Linked DNA regions of Notamacropus eugenii. The protein of the gene in region 2 purifies or fractionates together with the protein of the main gene of each other region. This does not show direct contact. Links are inferred from orthologs where the notes say so. Each region holds a gene or a part of one and is shown on either strand. Other genes may lie near its edges.

Region 1 (6,859 bases), on a different chromosome or scaffold from region 2:
TACTCAAACATGGAAACTCTAGTAACATAGCTAGAGAATGACCCTAAAATATAGCTACTACATATGGCAAAGGCACATGGTCTTGTGTGCTGATATTAGAAACAGCACCCCCACACCTTACCCCACCAGCTGCCATCTTCAAACCTAATTTTGTTGTTTAGTTGTTTCAGTCATTTTGTGACTGACTCTTTGTGACCCCCTTTTGGGATTTTCTTGGCAGAGATATTGGAATGGTTTGCTATTTCCTTCTCCAACTCATTTTGCAGATGAGGAAACTGAGGAAGACAGTGTTAATGACTTGCCCAGGGTCAAACACAGCTAGTAAGGCCATATTTGAACTCAGGTCTACCTGGTTCCAGGTTCAGTACTCTATCCACTGTCCCACCTAGTTGCCCAAAACCAATCTGAATCACATATTTGGAGTTGGAAGGAACTTTTGAGATCATCTAGTCCTTGGATGTGGAACCTGCGGCCTCAATGCCACATATGGCCTTCTAGGTCCTCAAGTGTGGCCCTTTGAATGAATCCAAACTTTACAGAACAAAGTCTTTTATTAATGGGATTTGTTCTGCAAAACTTGGACTCAATCAAAAGGCCACACCTGAGAACCTAGAAGACCACCTGTTGCCTCAAGGCCAAAGGTTCCCCACCCCTGAATTCTAGTCTAACTCTCGAATTATACAGATAAGGAAACTGAGGCACAGCAAGGTGAAATAACTCATCTACGAACACAGAGCTAGGATTTGAAACCAGGCTTTTTGATTCCAATACCAAATTTTAATTTCTAATATTCCCTTTTGATGCTTCCAGAAGGGAAGACTGAATACAAAAGACTCATAACATTTTAGAGCTAGACAGGATTACAACATTTAGAACTGAAAAAGGACCTTTGAGATCAAATTCAAATCTCTATGCTTACAGATTAGGTATTTGCTTAGAGAGAAGAAGAGACTGTTTAAGATTGATAGTCATTTATTGGCATTGTAGGGAGAAGATCCCAAGTCTTTTGAGTCCCAGAATCTCTGTCCAGAGCACTGCTCATTTCAGGCAGTACATCAGTCAGTCTATAACGATTTATTAACCATCTGCTATATGCTAGGCATTGTGCTTAGCACTGGGGATACAAAGAAAGGCGAAAGACAGTCCCTGATCTCAAGGAGCTCACAAACAGGAGAGATACCAAGCAAACAAATATTTGCAGACAAGAAAAGTACAGGATAAATTAGATGTAATCAATAGAGGGAAGGAACTAGAATTAACAGGGATCCGGAAAGGCTTTCTATAGAAGGTGGGGTTCTAGCTGGGACTTATAGGAAACCAAGGAACAGGGGATAAGCCCTACTTTTCCTTTCCTGCTCCCTTTTTCATTATATTCCTCACTTTCTGCTCCTTCTTCCATGTTGGTGCAGATTCCTGGGAAGGTGGTAGTGGGAAGCACATATGTATAAAGAGAAAAGATTCCATTTCCTTCAAGTGATATCTGCTACTGCCCAAACTCATTCTGCCTTCTATTTAGCGTCACACTCCCTAAATGGGTGATCAGGCATAATCCCAGGGTTTTTCACTTTTCAGGGTTAGGAAAGAAAACAGCAAAGTCATTGGTTAGTCAATCGTTCAACTCTAGGGAGTATTATCAACCCTATTCTCCCTTACCCATCCACCTATCCCTAAGATTACTAAGCAAATAACTAGAATCACAGTGTTAAATCACTGAAGTCTGACCTAAGACAACATCAAATTGCCCTCCTGGCTCCCTCCTCTTTACAGGTTCAGAAACTGAGTCCCAGAGAGGCAACACTTTTTAACCAAGTTCACACATCAGATAGTGGCAAAACTGGAGTGAACATCCAGGGCTCCTAGACTCCTAGTCCAGTACTTTTTTTCACTACAACATACTGCTTATTCACCAAACTTCTAAACCCATCAGCAATTCACTTCATAAGTCTCTGGGTCTGGCTCCATGTCAGGAGAAGCTAGGAGGAGGTAACATGAGTCCCTGCCCTCTTGAAGCTCATCACATGTAGTTCAATGTCTCCTTCCAAACTAGCTTTGTCATTAGGCTGAGGAGGGACAGCCCAGAAAGCAAGTCCATTTTTTAATGGGCTTTTCTAAGACTCTGGTCAATTAAACCCCTCCCTGCCCAGGCAGCTGTTTAAAGGAGGCTCTAGCCATCAGATGTGGCAGCTGCACCACCCCATAATCCAGAGCCCCCAAGCTCCAGAGACGCCAAGGCCTCTGTCCAGGTAGCTGAGCTTGCTCTGGAGCTGAGGTAAGCCTGTCCTTAGGGGACCCACCCTGAGGATCTGTTCCCCTTAAAGTGATGGCCTTCAGAGGCCTCCACCAGGGGATCTAGCTTCCCTTGTGTAAAGTATGTTAGAATAGCAACGGTGAGGGGAATCTGAAGCATCTCAGGATTGGGGAACTGATCCTACTGTTTAGTCTTCTTTTCAGTCATGTCTGATTCTTTTGGGGTTTTCTAGGAAAAGATACTGAAGTAGTTTGCCATTCCCTACTCCAACTCATTTTACAGAACAGGGTTAAGTGATTCACCCAGGGTCACACAGCTAAGAAGTGCCTGAAACTGGATTTGAACTCAGGTCCACCACTTGTTTCCATTTCACTACCTAGCTGCCCCAACTGATCCAGTAGCAGCATCTAGAGTTGTTAAATCATAAAACTTCAGAGCTGGAAGGGTTCTTAAGCATCATTCACTCCAATAATCCAATCTCCATTCTACAAATAAAGAAACTGAGGTGGATGAAAGTGGTCTTCTCAAAACACAGTGAGCCAAGCTCAGAACCAGGTTTCCCAACTTGAAAGCCATTGCTCTTTCAACGACACCACTTTTAACTGCCAAAGAGAAATAGCACCACAGACCTACAGCTGGAAGGGATTGTAGAGATTATTTAGACCACCCCTCTTCACTTTACAGATAAAAAAACAGGGCCAGAGAGGTGAAACGATTTGCCTAGAGTCATCCAGATGGCAAGCAGCAGAGAAAGAACCTGATCTTCTAAGAGGAAGGTGTCTTTTTTCTTGGCTGCACACCTGGGGAGGTGGCTAACACCCCCATCACTGGGAATTAATGAAAACCGTACAATCAACCTCTATGGAGGCCCTGCCTCTGATCCTATGCTAGGTCCTGTGGGAATGCCAAGACTGGAGGCCCTCAAGAAGTTTACAGTCCGGGGAAAATAACACAAGCCAATGCAGCTGTGGAGTAGTGGGGAGTCCTGGAGGGAGACTTGGGAGGACTGAGGTCTAATCTTGGTTCTGTTTGCTACTGCCAAGCTGTGTAACTTTGGCTGTCACCTCCTCTCTCTCTGGGTCTCGGTCTCCTTAGCTATAAAATGCCGGGCTTTGGAATTTTCAAACGAGGAAACTGAGGCCCGGAGTGGTTCATCTGCAAACTCCTCTCAACGTCTAAGATAAATGAATCCCCAGGAGGTCCTGGGGTCTGTAAGCAAGCCTGTTCAGCGTGGGGCAGAGGTGAAGCGAAGTGGGCTGGCTGGTCCTGGGCTGGGAGGCCTTGCAGGAGGAGCTGGGACCCGCCAGACTCCCAGCAGCCGCATCAGGCTCCCTCTCCAAGGTATGGGGGGGGGGGGCTGGGGGAGGAGACAGAGGAGGGGGTTAAGGATGGGTGCCGGGAGGGAGGAGCAGGGCCGGGAGTGGGGAGGTGTTAGGGGACTAATCCCCGCGGCGTTCGGGAATGGGGGGCTCGGCTTCTCCCCTCCGCCCCTCGGATCGCAGACGCGGCGGGAGACACCGCGGGTGACTCAGCTTCCTGGGTCCGACTGGGGCAGGCTCCAGAGGCACCTGAGAGCCCAGAGGGCGGGGCCACGGTGCACGTGACCGCCCCTCCCCCCCGCAGGTGGGGCCGGGCGGGGCCGTGACTCAAGCGGCTCCTGGCGGCTTCCGACCCGTCGCCTCCCGCCTGTCATTCGCTCCGCTTTCCCTGGACGGCCAGCGCTGCGTGCCCTTCGCCGGCGCGGCCTCTTGGACCCAGGCTGCCGGGGAGAGCCGGGGTAAGAAGGAAACCCCCACCTGCCCGGCCTCCTAGCTGCCCACCCAAAGGCTCCATCTGCCCCCTCTGCCGCGGACCGGCCGGCGCTTGGCCGTGCTTGGAGATCCGGGCTGGCTGTGCTGGCCCCTGGGAGCACCGTGGGGGGTTTTCTGGGGGTTGGGGGAAGGGACGAGAGACCAGGCCGGAGGAAGGGGAACACCAGGTCCGGCCCCCCACCTAGAAGCCCCCTCAGACTTCCAGCCCGTCCAGCCCGGACTGCCCTTTCTGCAAGCCCTTATTCATACTCTCCGTCTCTTTCCCCAAACAGGTTCCCTATGGGCAGAATGCAGGTGAAGCCTGTGCGTGCCAACCACTACCCGTCCTACTGGGCCATCGCTGGGGGGTCAGGCATCTGAGCTCCGGATCCGAGGAGCAAGAAGGAAGGGGGGGGAGAGAAGAACACCTTTGGCCTCCGGGAAGCCCCCTCCTAACCCCTAGTTTAACTCTGCTCCAGCTCCCGCCACCCTTTCCTCCTTCAGGCCTGACTTGACCAGTGTATGTACCCCTGGCACAGCCATGGCGTACTCCCAGGTGCAGTGCCTGGACGACAGCCATGTGAACTGGCGTTCTAGCGAATCGAAACCTGAATTCTTCTATAGTGAGGGGCAGAGGTTGGCCCTGGAGGCCCTGGTGGCCAGGGGCCCCGAGGCCTTCTACGAAGTTCTCAAGAAGGAGAATATCCGGGACTTCTTGTCCGAGTTGGAGCTCAAGAAGATCCTGGAGACAATTGAGGTCTATGACCCAGGGTCTGAGGACCCCCGGGAACACAGAGGCCTCTGTGAGGGCTCTGGGCCCGATGATAAGGAAGAGAATGGAGAGGGAGGTGGTGATGCTGATGCTGATGCTGATGCTGATGCTGACCTGGTCCCTTCCTTGGAATACTGGCCACAGAAGTCAGACCGCTCTATCCCGCAGCTGGACCTTGGTTGGCCCGATACCATTGCCTACCGTGGGGTGACCCGTGCCAGTGTGTACATGCAACCTCCCATCGATGGACAAGCTCACATCAAGGAGGTGGTCCGGAAGATGATCAACCAGGCACAGAAGGTGAAAAGGGATGGGGAATCCTGAGGGTGAGGGAAGGGGAATAAGGGCTAACATGTATATGGAGCTTTAAGACTTGCAAAGAGCTTTACAGATATCTCATGTGATCCTCAAAAAAACCCTGGGAGCTAGATGCTATTAGTACCCCATTTTACAGGTGAGGAAAGTGAGGCAGACAGCAGTAAAGTGATTTGTCCAGGGTCACACAGATATTTGAGGCCAAATTCGAACTGGGCTTCCTAATTCCTGTCCCTGGATTTTGCCACCTAACTGCCTTTCAGGAAAGATAGGATTCCTGGATTTTCTTGCACAGTTCACTATATGTCATTGACAGAAATGTTTCCTTAGAGGTCAGGAGACAGCAGGCTTCAGTTTCAGGGCACTGAGGGGGAGAAGAGACAATGATCTTCAAAACTGAGGGAATGCTTGTTAGACAAGAATGAGAGAGAATCTCTTATCTTTGAACTGACTACTTTCACCTCCTACCTACTCCCCTTTTGCATTAAGATGCCAGGGATGCCTTTTCAAATATCTTTGTTAATTCATATCAGCTTTCTCTTCCTTTCTAAAAAGCCTTCCTGAGAAAATTCGGTAGCTGAACAGATTTTACCTTTAGGCAATGGCACAGTGTGTGTCTGTGTGTTCCTCTATGACATAGTGAATAGTAAGAAAGCTCCTGCCTACGCAGATGAGTATTTGATGAAACCAGGGTGGGTGTGGGCATGACTCAGATCACAGTAAGGTCTGAATCTAGGATTTGGGACCAGAAATTCTCCTAGGGTGTCCATAAACATGTGATTTAGACTCTAGAGGGCAGCTGGAAAATAGACAAACTCATCCCAACTGTGACTAAGATGAACACTGTAGTCTGAGAAAAACAGTGTATTGGGCTAAGGGATTGGGTCTAGGTTTAAGTCCACACTTTGCCTTGGTAGTGCTGGGTGATCTGAGGAAGTCACTTGACTTCTCTGGTCCTCTGTTTCTGCTTGGGTAAATTTTAGGATACAGAGTAAATTTATAGTCTGCTTCTGGAGCCAGGGGATTTGATGCTGACTTGGCATGGGCAGGCCAACATTTCATTACTGAGTTGAGGACTGGACAAAGGTAGCAAGTTGCTGAGTAGGAAGAGTCAGAGACTTCAGCAAAGGATATTTAGGCTGAATCTTTGTAGAAGCTGAGAGTTGAAAGGAACCTGAAAGATAATTTGGCTCCACCTCTGCAAGTAAGGAGGTGGAACATGATACAGACTCAGCTTCCCTTCATTTTAGTTATACTCTCCAGTTCAAAACACAAACTCCTTCAACTGAGATCTGAGATTTGTTTTTTTTTTTTAGCCTTACAGAGCATATTGAGTAGCTTTCAAACCCTGCCTGCACTTTAATTCTCTGTGTGTATGTACGTATGTATGTATGTATGCATGCATGTGTGTGCGTGTGTGCATGTGCACACACAAACAAGCTATTAAATAGGACTTTCCACTTAAAAGAGGTCTTGCTTCAGCCTTGTTTGGCTGTAAATGAGCTGCTATTTTGGTCACATTTACACTTTGAATAATAGGAAGGAGAGCTCCCAGAGCCCTTCAGGATCACTCAGTCCACTCCCTTTATTTTCACAGATGAGCAAACTGAGGTTCCCAGAAGGTTACTCAAGTACTAAGTGGAAAAATGGAGATTTGAACCCAGATTTCCTGATTGCAAATCCAATACTCTTTCTCTCTGCCTTCTGGTGCTTTTTAGAGATTGGGGTCATCCT
Region 2 (11,066 bases):
GTTACACTGTTTTATTAAAAAAAAAAAAAAACCTGCCTTTGCATGTTCAACTGCCATAGGATCTTAGGTCTTTAGAAATGCAAGGAACTTTTAAAAAATAATTTAATCCAATCCCTTCAATTTTACCACAGGTTAGGAAAACAGGTAGAAAATGATTCACAGGATCACATGTGAGTTGGATAGGATACCAGAACTCACCTAGTTCAATGTACAGATGAGGAACTGGGATTCAGAGAGGTTAAGAAACCTATATAGTCCCCTATATAGGGGATTAGTCTCCAACTTCTGGTCAATGTAACACCCAAGAGGGTCTGTAGTAGTCTCAATGAATTACTTCAAAGGCTCAAAGAGAGCTGAATCTAGCAGGGGATTGAGTACATTCTGGGCACAATATTGGGGGGGAAACCAGATAAAAAACCTAATGGAAATGCATCCCTCTTTTCCCCAAATGGTTCAAGCTTCAGCTACAGCATCATTTAAAAAGCGTATTCAAAAATACAGAAAAGATAAATTGAAGAATTGCACTTATTTTATCGATTTGTTCTACCCATTTCTTTTAATATTCTAATATACTGGTCAGTATATTAAGTTAGTTATGTGTATAAGTATTTGCCCATTTGAAGACAACTCTCCTATAAGTGAATACCCAAACAGGCCATCCCCCTATTGAGGTCAAATGTTACAATTTCTTTAAAAGTTCGTCAAAACTCTGACTAGTCCTCAAATTCACATCATTAATTCAAAGATCTAATGTTTGAATGGCCACATTTTCATAAAGGACAATAGTATAACAGATCTAGAGTTGGAAGCAAAGAAGAGAATGTTGAGGTCTAAAAAGGTTAAGTGATTTGCCCAAAATCACACAAGGAATAAGGTGCAAAGCAACAATTTGAATTCAGGACTAAAGATTCCCAGTGCTTTCTACTACATCAGAATTTCAATGTAGGTAGTAGTACTGCCCTCAAGGATGCAGATCTCAACCCATTCATAATTGCTATCCTTTATGCATAGAGACACATAAATTTACCACAAGGAGTCCACTCAATATGCTTTTCTTTCTCTTGATGTTGTACAGATACCAACTGAGCAGTCAGGCTGTCAATTTTTCTCTTGCTTTCACCATATAACTGGCGCTTCATCATCTGACAGCACACTTTACTCCTAGAATTCATTTATAATGTGCCCACTATTGTGCCTCTTGAATGTCCTTTGGACAAGCACTAAATTTATTCCATAATGTGCAGTTATATAGCATCATCACAATAGCTAATATTTATTACCATGACTGCTGGTGTCTGGCACCATGCTAAGTACATGCCTTACAGTTATTAATTCACTGATCCCCACAGCAACCCAAAGAGTTAAGTGCTATTGTTATTTGTTTTACAGATGAGGAAACTGAGGGAAACAGGTTAAGTAACTTGCCCAGGGTCACATGGTTCTGAAGTGTCTGAGTCAGGATTTGACCTTATGTCTTCACAACTCCAGGCTTGTACTATAACCCACTGAACCACTTACCTGCTTTACACTTCAGTGAAAAAGATTTGCCTTTGTTAAAGAGAAGCTTCAGACTATCAAAAGAACTAAATATATGACATCTCAAAGGTAATCTAGCCTATTCTCCTCAGTTAGGTCCATTTACAGCATCAGTCCAAAATATATTTATCTGTGGACCAGGTCTACGGATTGTATAGCAAAATCTAGACAATAGGCTTTCTCTATTTTTCTTGGTGTCCAGTTAAACCAAACTGAACGCATCCATCTTTAATGATTAATTCTTTTATTGGAGTGAAGGGTACAATGTTTTCCTAAGTTTGAAAAATAACTTCTAAATGCTCAAAACATTTATGATTACATTGGAAGCACAGGTCCAGTTTTGAATGCATAAAAGATAAGCAAGGGCCTTTCACCTCAGGTGAGAGGGTCCCCTTTCTTCATCCCAACAGCAACATTTTCTCATAAGAAACCCTCCAACTTGGCCAATAAGGCAGCTTCTCACCTAATACTAATTTCCAAGACTGATGGCAGCACAAGAGACTTTATCTTGTATAGACAATATTATTTCAGGAACACAGGCTACCAAAGCAACAGGATAAAGTAAAAAAACATACATACAAAAGTATTCACCACTATAGATTACATCAAAATATTTTAACAGCAGGTGGCTATTGATGTAATTTCAGGCTTTCAGGAAAGGTCTTTTTTTTTAATTAAAACCATATGAATGAATACAATATACATAACCTGGTTCTTTCCAGAGGTGTCCCATAACTCCTCAAAACAATAAATCTTCTCATACTTGCCTTGAAACAAAACTCTTACTCAATTGCTTACATAACTTTTCTATAGAATCACAGAAAATAATCCAGTGTAAAAAGCCAAGCACTAGTTGTGTAATAGTATCCTAACACCAAAGCTTCATAAAACGAATTTCCTGGATGTATAAAGCAACTTTGCTATATTAACTTTCCTGTGATGAGTTGCTGGCAGGAATGCAAGTATTTTCCTGTTGGCCTGACACTTCCCAGAACATAACAGATTCATCACGTTTCATTTTACCCTTTGAAATACTTTAATTTTTTTTTAAACTAAACGGAATTTTTAAAATTGAATTTTTAAAAAGACATAGGACTTAACTATTTAACAAGGTTAAGTCATGCCTTAGATGTAACACCTAAAATATACTTCCTTGATCTTAATGCACAGTGCCTGTGACACCAATAACACTTAATAACTTTTTTCATTCATTCATTAAGTCCCCTAAACAATGTTTGATATCCCAAAGAGCACCTAGATTCCTACAATAATAGCAAACAGAAAATAGTACCGGAGACATCACCTCCAAGATAATTCTGCCCACTCTCACCAACTTAGGTCCATTTACAGTTTCAGGTATTTTTACAACTTTAGGCTCATTTATATCTATCATCTCTACGTCCCTGTCCCAAGCATTATCGCCTTTGACCCTCATTCGGACTGTGAGTGATTTCCTGTATTAACTTGGAAGTGATTTGTTCAAGGCCATAATGCGGTAAAAGGAGACACTAATGTTAAGATGTATGTCTCCTAAGGTCACCAGAAAAAAGACGTGGAAGAACCCTAGCCACTAGTACCACTTTAGCATTGAAGACAGCAGGTGGAAGGAAGACTACCTAGTCCAATGACACTCATCCTTCTTCCTCACTTTACACACGAAAGTAAGTGACTTGTCCAAGCCCACAGCGGAGTTAGAGGGAAGAGGACGACCAAAACTAGGGCAAGGCGCCTATAACCACCAGGTCCTTCAGATGCCAAGTCCTTTAAGAGCGTGATGTCTCCCCTCTTAAGGTATGGAAGAACCAAAGGTTCTGGTACGAAATTACTTTACAACAAAGCCTCTGAACTAAGGAGTTTTCCTAAGTTTCCTTTCTGACTTTCTATGGGAACCGCAAACCCTGGAACACAAATGGGCAGGCAAAACCGCACCAGCGAGGGACACATGCGCCCCCTCCCCTGGCGCACTACTTACAGGAGGTCAGCAAGCCCCCCGCTCCTCAGCCTCCCCCAGCCCGCATCCGGGCGGCAGAGCGGACCTCAGGACGGGGCGCCGGGAAGGAGCCGAGGGGCCCGGCAAGCCGCCCCGGCCCGAGCCCGCGGGAGCAGCACGCGCTACCCCCGGGCCTGGCAGGAGCCCCCGGGCGCACACGCTCCGAGGTCGCCTCCCTCGCCCGCCCCAAGAAAGCCCAACGAGCCCCCGGCGCAAGGAGGGAAGGTCAGGAACAGAAGCGACCGCCGCGAACCCAAGACCCACAAGCTGCCTCCCGGCGGGATCCCAAGATGGCGGCCAAGGCGCCTGGTCCCGGCACCCCGAGCTCGCTCGCCTTCCCTTCCCTTCCCTGGGCCTCGGCCTCCTCCGCCCCCCCCCCCAGCCCCCGGCACAAGCTGGGCGTGCGCGCGCGTGAAACTGAGTGAGTGGGAACGGGCGGGGGAGGGGAGCGGAGAGGAAAGGCTGACGCCGAGAAAGAAGAGAAGAAGCTGGGAGACGCGGACAGAAACACGGCGAACAAGGCGAGGGGGGCGGACGACGCTCCTTCCTCCTCGTCAAACCTTCCACCCCCACCGAAAAAAAAGGAAGAGGGAAAGCACCCCAAGAGCGGAGCCGACGGCCTAGACCTCCCCGCTCCCCTCGCCGAGGCCCACCTCGCTACCTACCTTTAAATTTGAGGTCTGTGGGCGGGTCGAGGAGCAGAATCTGCTCGTGCTTTGCCATGGCCCCGGCAGCGGCCGCCATCGGAGAGACAGCGCAGGGGGAGCGGGGGCGCGCCCGAGGCGGCGGTTTGCCCGGTGGGGGGGAGGGGGGTGTCCGGGGGAGGGAGAGTGGGAGGAGCCCGAGGTGGAGGAGAGTGGGGGAAGCGCCGGGGCTGTGAGAAGGGCACAGTCACCAGCCTGGGCTCACCGCTCGCTCGCTTCCTGCTCCAGCCAGCGGATCGGGCAGTCTGACGACCAGTCGCTTCCCCCCCCTCCACTAACAACTGACTCAACCCCACACCAGCCACCGCGGCCACGCGCACTGCGATCCTCGCTGCCCCACGTGACGCTCCTCTGCGTGCAGCGTGCGCGCCACCGCGGCGGCCTGGGCCTCCTCTTCGCCCGTCCCGCCCTTGGAACCTTAATGTGACATGGGCCTTCACGCGCCTGCGCGCTCCCGCGTGTTCTATAAATTTCTTGCAGCCCGAAAGCTTTGCTGGGACTCTTGTCAGTGGAACTGGAAATGTCGCGGCGTGGGGCGGGGGGAAGGGAGGGAAAAGGGGGCGGAGTTTCCGCGGGACTGAAGATGCCTGTGCTCAGAAGCAATCCCTTCCCTCCCCTATCCGCGGGATCTGGGAGTCCGCACGGAGGTGACACCTTCTAGGGTTGGAGCTGAGGAACGGATGCGAGGGAAACGACTTGGGGCAGACGCCTTCAGAAACTACGACTCCCAGCATACAACGTTCCAGGCGGGCGGAGTGTAGAGACCTAGCCATTGGGGGTGGAGCATGCTGGGAGTCGGAGTCTTCCTTGGGGCGCCCGATGCGCAGTGCACCTTGGAACTTGTAATAGCGGCAGGACCGGCAAGCCGACAGGCCGGCGGCGGGCGGGAAGAGGAGCAAAGTCGGTTGGACAGATGTTGGGCGGGGCGCATCGGCCCCACGCGAGGCTTTGGAAGCCTTCGCGAAAACCCTCTGGCTGATTCTGGAGTGCCAGGCACCCACCTCTTCCAGAGAAGGAACTATATATAATTAGATTTGGGGGTGGATGCTTCTTTTGGCGGTTTTGTTGTTTTGGGGGGGGTGGGGGAGGGGAGATGGAAAGGCCTTACTTCTAATCCAACACTTTGTATTCCGAGAAGGGCCGCAGTACTTGGTGTGTTGAAATATGCCTTATTGTCAGTGACGCAAAAACCAGATAAATAATACTAGCATTGAAAACACGAACGTGGCATGAAGCCAGGAGCAAATATAAATGAGGGTTTGATTAGGGGAGGTTCCCGGAGCACCAGCCTTTCTCCTCAACGAAATAGGACGAACTTTCCCATGTGCTATTCACGCGGTGGGGTCTCTGAATGTGATGGCAACAGACCGCAAAACTTTTTTTAATTGATGATTTAACAACAAAGATAAGACAAGGACCCTCAAATTTAGCACTGGGAGAGTGTGGTGGACTGTCCTAGGGTAATGCAGTGTTGTGGGGGTTAGCAGCTGTCCTCCAAGTAGTGGCTCGGTTTGTATAGAAACCAAATACCTGGCAGAACTGGCACCGTAATAATGCCTAGCCCCACCAGCAGAGGACTTGGAATCAATGCCTAAATTTAACAAAGGTAGATAGCTAAAGGGGGCCGCTACACCGGCCAGCTAGCGTGCAGGATATGGAGTCAGAAAGACCAGATCCCTCCTCGCAAACCACTTCTGTTTGCTTTAATCCACTGGAGAAGGAAATGGCAAACCACTTGATTGTCTTTGCCAAGAAAACCCTGTGGACGGCATTGGCAAGCTGTGGTGACCGGACAACAACAAAGCTAGCTACAGCTGCTAATGTCGCAGTTCACAGAAGGTAGAACTTTCCGTCCAAGATTCTCCTGTTCGTCTTGTATATGTAAATGCTTGTCTGCATGCTGTCTCTTTTCCCACCCCCTCAGATTATAAACTCTTTGAGAGTAGGGTCTGTCTTTTCCTTCCTTTGTGTCCTCTGAGTTTAGCACAGTGCCTGGCACTAGTAGGTACTTAATGCTAATTGAGTGCTTAGCACCCTCATAGAAGAGGTGTCACCTTCAAACTAAAGAAACAAACCCCAATCACATAAGGCCATTGGCCAAAATGAATGTGTCTTTTATTTATGTTTAACTTGTCAGTAACATTTTGCATTTGGAATCATTTGGGAGATATGAGAAACTCTGGCACAGGGCTGCCCATCGTGGCATGTAGGAATCAAAGAAGGTACTGTGTGCTCCATGAGCAAAGCAGAATTGCAGTCACTCAAAGTGAGATACACAAAATTTAGAGATATCTCCATTACAAATGTTCATATGGACTATTTGTGCCCTACCTGTGGTAAAGTCTTCCAAGCTTGCATTGGTCTGATCAGCCAGTCAGACACATTATACACTGACCCTGACATAGTGATGTCATTCTGGTCCACTTCCATTGTACAGTAATCAACATATGTCATCAGGGCTTGCCTGGCAGGTAGAAAAAGTCCTTGCTTACATGATTAGATTTGGGACCTCCACTTCCAAAGTGCCTTTTATTGGTCTGATGCTGATTCCTGGACATCCAACATAAGAATTTCATTCCTTGTGCTGTCACTGGGAAGATATCCAGAATTCCTGGGAAACATGCAGTCCCTGTTAAAGCTTAGTGTAAATTAGTTTTTCAGGAACTTTCCAAGAGATGGCATGCTGAAAACTGTTTTTGACAAGGAAGTAAGGTAAAGGAAAAAATATCTAGAGGATACATACACACTAACATAACTTTTAATGAGGCCAAGTCTGGATGAGTGCCATGGAGAAACCCAGGTGGAGCATGAGGAAGAAAATGGTATTAAAAGAAAAAGAAAATACTTTGGGTTAGGGTAGACTTTTGAGGTCAGCTATTTTTAAGGTGGGCAGCTAGGTGGTGAAATGGATAAAGCATCAGTTCTGGATTCAGGAAGATCTGAGTTCAAATCTACTGTCAAATTGAACTAGCTGTTCAACCCTGGGCAAGTCATTTAACTCCTATTTGCCTCCGATCTTGGTTTGTAAAATTGGGACACATTGAAGAAGGAAATGGCAAAGCACTCCAGTATTCTTTGCCAAGATATTAAGCAACAGCATTTTTAATGTACTATTAAGTCCTATAATATTTATATCAGTATAAAATTTATACAAATATATAATATATAAATAATATTATACATAAATATACAAAAATATAAATAATTGTTTCCAAAAGCCTAAGAGCATTTTCTCTATTTTGGAAGTATGATAGATTATTCAATCTCTTGCCAGAGTGACACCTTACAAAGTTTCAAATTAAGAATTTTTCTACAATAAATATAACTAAAAGAGTTTAGGAAATATTTCCTTGGCCATATTGGGACTAAATAAATAAAATAAATGTTACCATTGTTTGCTTTGAAATACTCCAATGGTAAACAAAGTTTTACATAAATTAACCTTGTAACTATTTAAATACTTCTTAAAAGTAGCTGAAATTAGTCTGAATAGTTTGTCAACATATTCATTTGCATAGGTGTCAGGTCTTACTGAAGAACCTGATATTCCACAGAAAGTATTAAGATTTAACAAAAATTACACTCCTACTAAATAGAAAATTGTTGATAGGAAACAGCCTTCTGTATTCATGCTTGTTCTTTAGCTTGTTGAAATTAGAGAGGCATTTATGAGGGCAAAATAAAATTACCAAAACTAGAATTTGGTCAAATTGCTGTGTACTAAAGCTTAGTGGAGTTTTTCCTTGACTTAGGTTGTGTCTATAGGATGCCACCATTTACAAAAAAACAAAACTTAGAGGAGAGTGAACTTTTTTTTCCATGTAGATCTAGGTGATCCTGTCAATAATCTTGTAGCAATGATTACAAAACATTGTGAAAGACAAGATGTTATTGTTCCCTTCCTTCCCTAGATACTTTAGGAAATTGCTCCCAGGTAATTTGAAGAGACCCCACCCCCACCCCCTGACGGGGGTCGGTCCTAGGCGCCTGGGCGGATAGGGGCCTCCCCGGGAGTGGCAGCCCACCAATCCGAGGGGGACACGGCTTCCATAGAGGAGTTGTGAGCCCACGGGATTGGTCGGGTGGGCTGGATCCAATCGGGTGGTAGGCCTCGCCCTCGGGGCGGGTTAGGATGGCAGCCCGGAAGAACCTCCCTATATAAGACAACGCCCTGAACTGCTCGTGGGACTCCTCCATGCAATAAAGCTATGAACCTCCTGCGCATTTCCTGATTATTGCCTGCCGCCGTGTCCCCCGGGGTAGGTCCGGAGACGTCCGAAGCGGTGCCCACCGAAGGGAGATTCTCACTCGAAGGTCCCGGGGACAGACCCGGGACAACCCCCCACCCCCCACCACCACCCCTGACTACCCAAGGAAAATTGTCCCAGGACCAAAAGACCCTTTAGAAAGGAAATTGGAAGAAAGTTGCTTACTGCTAGGTATTTCTATTTTTCTATAGACTTTACAAAAGCATTCATTATTGCTTTCCATAAACTGCTAAAAAACTTTATTCATGTTTTGAGTTTTGTGAATCCATGAGCTAAAAGGAGAGTTTTTAACTATACCCATGGGCTTGGGGAGGGGCACTGTGTTAGATACTGAAGTTTTCCAAAATCATCTCTTTGGTAACAATAAGCAGAAGTGAGAAATCCCCCAAAGTGTGCCACTCAAAAGTTACATACATATGGTTATTAACTGACCTGTAGGCATGATTAGCTGCAGTTGTGAGGCAGTATGTGACTATAGTTTGAGTCAAAGAGCAAGTGACCATTGCCGATTTCTCCCACCCCCTTTGTCTTACGTAACCAAAATCCCCAAACCTATTAGGATGTGACTCTTCTCTTTGGTGGAAATCACTGGCCCTGTACCCGCAGATTTGAAGTGGGAAAGTAGAGACCTCATCAATCTCTTAAGTTTTCTCAGATTTTTCAGTCTCTTCAGGCTTTGAATAATTCTGCCTTCTAGGTTAGAGAGAGAAGATTCAAGATGCCAGCCCCACTTAAGGTTGCTGGGGAAAAAACAGACTGTAGGAGCTGTCAGTCTTCCTTATGTGCCTTTCCCCAATTTGCTACACTGAAGACTTCAAGGAACTCCCCTTTGGATGAAATCTAGGACTCTTTCTTAGTTGAACTGAGTTATCTCAATCCTAATGGGAGAATTCCTTCACTGTATTATCTGGTATATATTCTCCTATCTATTCTTTCTCTGATTTCTGTTTTTCTATTCACTTGGATAAATGAGGGTTTTGTTGGGGTTTTTTTTTTGTTTTTTTCTGTTTTGGTTTTTGTTATCTCCTATATGTATTCACTGTAGAATTGATATTTGGTGAGGAGTTAATCTTTAAATATAAAGAAAGCTTGGGGTCCTGCTTCCCACATTGATGAAACAATGATCAGAAGTTAGATTGAACCTGAAAACCATATCCCCTAGAAAAATAATTATTTGAGGAATCCCCTTCTCTGAGGAAAAGTAGCCAAGCTTTGGCTCCAAACTCCTACTTCTCCTCCTGGCAGGAAATAGTCTCCCTTGGAGAAGAGTGGGGGGAGAGGAAGACAGAGATGTCTATTTTGCCTCCCTTTAAACCACATAACCCTCCCAATTTACATGTAGGGTGATAGCCTTTTACACTGAAGACACCAAGCCCTAGATAGCTGGCACTACTATTCCCCCCTCACTCTTCTTCTATGTTCCTTACCAACAGGACTATGGCTAAGAGAAGGCTAAAAAGTTTCTTTCTTATCCAGTAATAGCACACCAACCTTTTAGGTTATTTTTAAAAAGGGCATATAATAAAGCACAAGAAAACTTACAAAGGAGAGGGAGAGTGTGTGCAATAACAGATGAAAAAGAAAACATTTTTTTAATTGTGTAAAGGAGATGTTTAGGAATTTTCCTGAACAATAAGGGGTTACCTAAACAACAGGACAATAAAGTGTGAATGAAGAACCAATAACACTACAATGTGTTGGCCTTTGGATGAGAATGACTAGTTTTCACCCCTGTGGCCTTTATAAGGAGCAAGCAGACCAGCTCTGGAAGAGCTGGAAGAATGGTCAAGAAGAAAGCTAATTATAAAAGTGGATTCTCCATTACTTTTTCCCTAATTATAAATTTTAACATGCTTGTGACATAACAATATTAACATATTCTCCATCACCCTCACCTTTTCATTCTCCGGTCCACCAGACACTGATTAGGTGGGACCATTCCGTCACACTAGGAGGTCTGCAATGACAGTGGTTGTCAGTCAATAATACTACTACATTGATGTAGCCTTTATAGAAACTGGAGTCCTTAACCCAGCTCCCATTTTAGGAGACAAGTTGGGTCCCTAAACAAGACTATATCTCCTCCTCAGTGTTCACAAAGTGAAGTAAGCAGAAGTAAGACAGCAACTTAGACAATAACAACAATGTTACAAAGAAAACCAACTTTGAAAGACCTAGGAAATCTTATCAATACAATAACCAATCACAATTCCAAAGTACTCATGATAAAACATGTTATACACTTCCAGATAGAAAGCTGATGCATTGAGTACAGATTACAGCATATTTTCATGTCTTTTTCTATTTTTCTTTCTTTTTTATTTTTTGGACATGGCTAATGAGAAAAAATTTTATGACTATATAAAAGAAGAGAACTAGATGAGTTCAGGAAGCAACTTTGTGGATATCTTAAGAACAAGAGAGATTACAGGGGGTGCAGCTGATCATCCTAGCCCAGAAGTAATTAAACTCAGTGATAGCTGGTGTTTCCCTCTTCCCAGCCTACAAGCAGGGGAGCAGCCAGGCCCAGCAACAAATGGATAGCAGAGAACTACACCTAAGGAAACC

The links.
Region 1: the proteins of VAPA (region 2) and FAM83G purify together in Homo sapiens (co-immunoprecipitation; 3 studies listed by BioGRID and IntAct, counting the BioPlex papers as one, with this or other methods). This does not show direct contact. The link is inferred for Notamacropus eugenii from reciprocal best matches to the Homo sapiens genes VAPA and FAM83G.

The regions. Positions count from the first base shown.
Region 1 is NC_092874.1:320,030,533-320,037,391, forward strand, and holds the start of FAM83G (protein FAM83G), read left to right. Parts: upstream 1-3,859; 5' UTR 3,860-4,025; intron 4,026-4,331; 5' UTR 4,332-4,579; coding exon 4,580-5,110; intron 5,111-5,126; exon of another isoform or gene 5,127-6,859. UniProt on the Homo sapiens protein: Substrate for type I BMP receptor kinase involved in regulation of some target genes of the BMP signaling pathway. Also regulates the expression of several non-BMP target genes, suggesting a role in other signaling pathways.
Region 2 is NC_092875.1:233,200,867-233,211,932, forward strand, and holds the start of VAPA (vesicle-associated membrane protein-associated protein A), read right to left. Parts: upstream 4,583-11,066; 5' UTR 4,271-4,582; coding exon 4,192-4,270; intron 1-4,191. UniProt on the Homo sapiens protein: Endoplasmic reticulum (ER)-anchored protein that mediates the formation of contact sites between the ER and endosomes via interaction with FFAT motif-containing proteins such as STARD3 or WDR44.